Linked DNA regions of Yarrowia lipolytica. The protein of the gene in region 1 interacts with the protein of each later gene in a biochemical or structural test. Links are inferred from orthologs where the notes say so. Each region holds a gene or a part of one and is shown in the gene's direction. Other genes may lie near its edges. The genes, in order: YALI1_C25576g and YALI1_B19336g.

What was found.
Region 2: the proteins of YALI1_C25576g (region 1) and YALI1_B19336g form a complex in vitro, tested with the Saccharomyces cerevisiae proteins (2 studies listed by BioGRID). The link is inferred for Yarrowia lipolytica from reciprocal best matches to the Saccharomyces cerevisiae genes CIA1 and CIA2.

Annotation. Positions count from the first base shown.
Region 1 is NC_090772.1:2,556,133-2,559,581, reverse strand, and holds YALI1_C25576g (uncharacterized protein), read left to right. Parts: upstream 1-1,928; coding exon 1,929-2,927; downstream 2,928-3,449. Other genes in the region: YALI1_C25581g (uncharacterized protein), read right to left, coding at 1-1,409. UniProt on the Saccharomyces cerevisiae protein: Essential component of the cytosolic iron-sulfur (Fe/S) protein assembly machinery. Required for the maturation of extramitochondrial Fe/S proteins.
Region 2 is NC_090771.1:1,932,515-1,935,919, reverse strand, and holds YALI1_B19336g (uncharacterized protein), read left to right. Parts: upstream 1-2,269; coding exon 2,270-2,848; downstream 2,849-3,405. Other genes in the region: YALI1_B19388g (uncharacterized protein), read left to right, coding at 1-152; YALI1_B19348g (uncharacterized protein), read right to left, coding at 241-903, 964-1,065; YALI1_B19326g (uncharacterized protein), read left to right, coding at 2,964-3,165, 3,267-3,391. UniProt on the Saccharomyces cerevisiae protein: May play a role in chromosome segregation through establishment of sister chromatid cohesion.

The DNA of each region.
Region 1 (3,449 bases):
TTGTCATTGGTCCATCCCTTTTGTCCAAGCAGACCCTTGACAGGTCCCTGACCATCATAGGTTCGAGGACCAGCCATGTAGTTGACGTAACCGTCAGGGCCACAAACGTATGCATAGACAGGTCCCTGGCGGTTCTTGTCCTTCTTCTGGGCCGCTGCCTGCTCCAGAGCGTTGTTGTAGTCGGTGGTATCAGTGTTGGGCTTGATGTTCAAAGGAGCAGGTTGGGGAATGTCCTTACTCGAGATGAACTTGTTTTCCTTGTCCACGTACATGAAGAGTCGGATTCGACCGAGCTTTTGCAGAAAGTAGAGAAGACGTTCAAAGGGGACCTCATCACGGGTTCGCACAGAGTAGTGAATGTCGACGCAGCCTCGAGGAGGATTGGTAGACAAAAGGGCCTGCAAAACAGAGGCGATTCCGGTTCCTCCAGCAAAGAAGACCAGGTTGTCGGGTTTGGGAACGTCCAGGTACTTCCAGTCAGCCGGGATTCGACTGGGCATATCCTCCATGGGAGCTCTGGGAGGCTTAACGTCAGCAGGAATTTCCGGAATGACAGCATCAATAAATGGACCTCGAATGTCCACATCGGTGCCAATTGGCAGGGATTGGATCCACTTTGCGACTTCTCCGTTCTCGTACTTCTTGATGATCATGCAAAAGCCATTGTAGTCGGTATCCCAACTGATGATCTTGACCAAAGGATCCTTTCCATCAACATCCTGCATCATGTAAACGGGTAGAGGAGTGTAGGATCGTACAACCTGCACGTCAGGCTGTCTAATGTGAACAGAAAACATTCTGTGACCATCCCAGTACTCTGCATACTTGGGCTGGAGCATGGATCGTTCCGGTCCCTTAAATTCAATCAGCTCCACGTCGTCGCTGATCTTCATCTTCTTGACAATCTTGTACTTGACAAAGGCGTTGTTTGCCAGAGTAGTCTCTCCTCCCTCGTTACCTCCTCGTCCAGTAACCATGTAAGCACACCAAATGATCCACAGAATGACCGCGAGGGCAAACAGTTTGGGTCCATGGCCGTCTAGGGCCTTCCATTTCAGCATATGGGGCCGTCGCACGTCAGTTTTAGGCATCTCAAACGACTCTCGGACCCACTCTTTGGCGGGGACGTAGCCGTTTTTCTTCGCCAAAGCCTCGGCCTTGGGATCAGGGATGTGGGGGAGCTGATCAAACGTGGTGTCTTTCTTTACCATCTCGTTGGACTGCTCCTTGTCGTTTTCGGGCTTGTTTTCAGCATCCTTCTTGGGGTGGTCGTTGTGAGCATCTTTCTGGAACAGATGTCGTCCAGTTGTGAAGGGAGACACCGGCCGAAACAGAAGCTGGGGTCTTTGGATCGGCTTCAGTAGCACAGGCCGGCTGGCCCGGAGTCCAATTAGTCCTATGCGGAACATTTGTGTGAGTTGCGGAGTCTGTGGAGTTTTTCAGATGCTGCAGTTTCGTTTCTACCGTGCGTTGATTAAGTTTACCAAATGTGAACTTTAGAGGACAGAAGTTAGACGACGGTGATAAAACGGGAGTTCTAGAGGCTAGATATTTGACAAAGTCGTTGAAATTATGTGTTTATTCGGTAATTTCATAAAGCTCTTGTTGACTTCTTTTCATTTTTTCATATTTTTCCCCGATTTTTGACGCATTTACAGAATGTTGTTCAGCCTTTATTTCACTTTTTTCCCTGAACATGATACACCACTCCCTACGAAAGGCGACGAAGAAGTGCAAGAGAAAACGAAAATAGTTTCAAAATATATACCGCGGAAAATCCAGTTGAACCAATATTCAAACACCCTCCGATCTCAGGCTCTTGACGGTCTCGACTGTCCTCACTGCCAGGTCTCGACGCCATCAGTTTAACTTTCTAGTGCAAGCCTGCAGGCTATTACTCACTACCATCATCTTGACATCACCACCAAATGCAGCTGATCAAGGCACTGAAAGGACACACGGACCGGGCGTGGGCAGCGTCCGTCCACCCCAACCTGCCTCTTCTGGCCACGTGCTCGGGCGACAAAACTGTGCGAATCTACAACACAAACAACTGGGAGCTGGTGACGACCATCACCGAGGGCCACAACCGATCTGTGCGCTCAGTGGCCTGGAAGCCCAGCGGCTCGTCCCCGTCGCTGGCGCTCGGAAGCTTCGACTCCACAGTCAGCATCTGGGGCAAAGAGGACGACGAGTGGCAGTTTTTGGCGGCTATTGAGGGCCACGAAAACGAGGTCAAGGGAGTCAGCTGGTCATGTGACGGCCAGCTGCTCGCCACATGTTCCCGAGACAAGAGTATATGGGTGTGGGAGGCTGACGACATGAATGACGAGTTCGAGTGTATATCTGTGCTGCAGGACCACACTCAAGACGTGAAGCATGTCGCCTGGCACCCTTCAGAGATGGTGTTTGCCAGTGCCAGTTACGACGATACCGTGCGGCTATGGCGCGAGGACGACGACGATTGGATCTGTGTTGCCGACCTCGGAGGACATGAGTCCACTGTTTGGGGGTGTGCTTTTGAGCCCTCTGAGGGTTCTGATCTCAGACTAGTCAGCTGTTCGGACGACAAAACATGCATTGTGTGGAAAAAGGAGGGACAGGTTGGAGGTACAGGTGACCACTCCGGCATCCGACCTGCTTTCCGGGCTGATCCTCTCTCTGAGGAGTGGATTCAGCAGGCTACTCTGCCTGAAGCACACACTCGAGCCATCTACTCTGTTGCATGGAACAAGAACGGACGAATCGCCTCCACCGGTGCCGACGGTAAGCTTGTGGTCTACAAGGAGAACGGTCCTGGCCAGTGGGTGGTTGAGTCTGAGGTCGAGAACGCTCATGGTGTCTATGAAGTGAACGATGTCGTTTGGTTGGACGACAAGTTGGTTACTTCTGGCGATGACGGAGTTGTGAATATCTGGGAGGTTTGATCGGAATATATTTACATGGAGATGATTTCTGTTGTTTTTTCGTTCATTTTCTAGTTTTCTCCGATTTTTTTTCTGACTTTCTCAAAGCCGGTTGCAAATTTGTCTAAACACGGCATATCGAAGGAAGCACTCCCTACAAATCAAGTCTGGTTTTAACTTTTTAGTGCGAGTTCAACACGCAACAATAGAACACCTCATTTCAAAGGTTATTCTTTCACGGCAAAGTTATAATTAAATGAATGTATATGCAGAAAAAAAAAAACTAAGGGCGGGCTAGAACAGAAACCGTTGTGCGGCCAAAACACGGACATAGTCCGTTTTGTTCCATAGATTCACGTGACATGTAATGAAATGGCTTGGTTATTCAGTGTACAGTGCATTTATCACTCTTTTTGCGCGGTCTGCAATCTCCTTCGAATCTGAATCTCCTTCGAATCTAAATCTCCTACGTCATACACGTTTTAAGGTTACCAATAGTGCATAACCACACACATGTATCATCACCTCGACAACGAGACTTGA
Region 2 (3,405 bases), on another chromosome or scaffold:
CCAAGGCTGCTACCGGCAAGGCTGGCACAACTCTTGCTGTGCGCAACAGCAGCAAAGAGAAGAAGCGAAAGGCCGAGAGTGTCGATAGCATCTACAAAGAGGAGATGAACGCTCTCAAGTCTGCCAAGAAGAGCAAGAAGGGCAAGAAATAAACTAATGACATATAAAAACTGATAGATTTATTACAATGTATGTACAATTAATTAAGTAGAGTCACGATTATAAATATGTGCATGGTCTTTACTCAAGATCGTAATAGTCCAGAATGACATCAAACACCCAATCAAGAGTCTCGGCCACGTCGAAATCGGTGGTGGGCACGATTCGGATTCCTTCTCTGGTGGCGTCCTTACTGGGTTCTCCGTTGGGATTTTCGTTTTCAAACAGCTGTTTGTGGGTCTTTAGGTAACCGGGCCAAACAATGTTGTGGAAGTATCCCTCAGGATCCTTCCAAAACCCTTCCAGAGTGACGTATCCGGATCGAGCTTCTCGTCGAGACTTGAGGTTTTCGTAACTGGATCTGACCAGAATCTTGATATCGAACAACTCGGTGAATTGAGCGTCATGGTAGACCATGATACCATCCAGAATGACAATCAGCTTGTTCTCAAACTCAGGCATGTAAGGGTGCATTCGACGCTTAAAGGCGTCGACAGCGTTTTCATCAAGAGCAGCGGGTCCCAGGGAGTTCTGGTCCTCCTTCGATTTGAAATTTTTGGGCAGCTCTCCAGTCTGCTTGACATGGCTCAAAACCTTGGACAGTAGCTTGAAATCAAAAGCCTCGGGACAATCCCAATCTTGAACTCCATCAATAACTGGGATCTGCGAGTCCTCCAGGTAAAAGTCGTCTTGGTGGATGATGATGACGTGGGGAAGAATGTCTCGAAGCAGACGAGCTAGAGTCTGAAGTTAGTGCCAGTTCTGTAACGGGGACTGCACCTCGTGCAAACGATTCATACTCACACTCTTTCCACTGGACGAGGGGCCACTGAGTGCCACCAAAGTGACCTCGCGCTTATCCTCCTCCTTGGCCAGTTTTTTCTCAGCTATTTTTCGTCGGATCATGGTGTGATGGTGTCGAAGATGATTACTGCACCTAGCTGCGATAAGCCTTACTGCTTACATGCAGCTTAACAATGTGAGACGAAGGGGGGTCTTTTGGCAATGAGAAACAAACTGATATGAGGGGAAACTAACTGCTCAACTGATAGTGCAATCTGGAATAATTTTTGTTCCATCAAAAAGGTTCCAGGTTTACATGGCTTTGCGTGCAGTCGGAGAGGTATATGTTTACCCATGATATTTCTTGGGGCACGTACAGTAATACTATAGTTACACAGCAAGATGATCTTGTACGGTATGTACTTGGTTGAACCAACACTGACTGAGACAAACGACAGACTAAAACAGCCGTGGAGTTATGCCCCCTAATTTGATTAGCCAGTTTTAATGCTTTGATGGCTGGTTCTCAAGGCAACTAACTAAATAGTTGCTAATGACATTAGTACGAGTATTGTAGCGACTTACTTGTACATGCTGTACTCACCTTCAACAAGAGATGTCAATGACTATTGTCGTACTCGTAGAAGCACAACACAGTATGTACAAGCAAGACATTTTGTGCGACGCTACAAGTACAACTACAAGTAGACGAACATGCACTGGTGTGTACGAGTACAGTACCAGCAGAAGAAGGATAAGTCGTACTCGTGGGGAACAGTGAGTGCCGAAAATAACCAAACTACGTCATATTGTTCCACTTCATTGCCACACTGTCCCAGAACCCCGCGGATTCACCTGCCCGCTACCTCACCTTGCACTTGCACTTTTTTTACTGTGCCCCGCATGCGCCATACAAAGAAAACAAAGCTGGCGGTCACATAGCTACGCTCACAGTTTTGGCTGTAGCCGAGAGCCACAAACAGACGGCAAGTTCCTGAAAACTCGCCGGTGTAACGGTCTGTTCACACTCAACATCCTCTATTGGTTTTTTGGCCCCTTTTAACGATGTTTCAAAACGTCTGGAATGTCTTTCGGCGCTTTTGGCCTTGTAGTCTTGCCCCACTATACCGCTCCTCACCCCTGGACCATAAACAAGACTAGAGACAATGGTAGAAACATGAACCCCTACCCTGATTGAGAGACACTACCCAGTGTTTAAACCTTATTCGTCAGGCATGCAGAAACTACAGTAATACTCCCAACACCACTGCACATCAGAGAGAATAATTGCTGTAAGTGAGAAGCAATACACGAGACAACTACCATAATGTCCGATCCCATTAACGCCAACCCCGAGGTTATCGACGTGTCAGCCCTGCCCACACGGAACAAAGGCCAGTCGCAGCTCGATCTGCCTCTTGGAGCCTTTCTAGACACACATCCCACACCCCTGTCTCTGATTCAGAACGAGTCCGCCAGCGGATCCGACGACGATGATGACGATGACGAGCCTGAACCTATCGATTCTCAGGAGATTTACGACCTCATCGCCACCATCTCCGATCCCGAGCATCCCCTGACTCTCGGTCAGTTGGCTGTTGTCAAACTGGAAGATATCTGGGTTCACGACACTGGAGACAAGAACAAGATGGCCGAGATTGTGGTCAAAATCACCCCCACCATTACCCACTGTTCTCTGGCCACCCTGATTGGACTTGGAATCCGGGTGCGACTCGAGCGAGCTCTTCCTCCTCGGTTCCGGTTCACTATCACTGTCAAGGAAGGTACCCACCAGAGTGAGAATCAGGTCAACAAGCAGCTTAACGACAAGGAGCGGGTGGCTGCAGCATGCGAAAACGAACAGCTGCTTGGTGTGATTTCAGGTATGCTAGCCACTTGCCAATAAAGAGCGATTTTGGACAAATGCGTCGAAATTACGATAACCCTGGTACGTACAGGCACTCCATAAACCTTTTTTTGCTTTTTTCACAGGATACGAGCGATCGACCCGACATGTGGATATGTGCACTTGCCACACCCAAAACACGTCGATTGGCTTGTTCCACGGCATTTGTTGGGTCAGGGGTGGGTTGATTTTAGTGATCGCCGCTACAAATACGAAAGAGCTGGATGATCATCTGGCGATATTTACACAACAACAATGCAACAAAAGAATGAATCCACAAAATCGGACATTAAGCTCGTTGACTAACAGGTTTCTTTGTTAGGTCATCATAAAACAAAAAGCTGGTGTTCAACCAAACCCACCCCGCAGTGTCTTGAACCAACGGTGTGAAGAGACACTCCCCTCCCCCGCACCCAAGCAGCCAGCTTTTCTCCCATTCAGCACAGAGTTACTTTACGCCCTCCCCACACTCTTTTTTATTGCAGTTTGAATGCCTTCCAAGCTGAGACAACAGGGGAAGTTAACTCTAGGGGACCCCGCTAAATCGAATCTAAAGT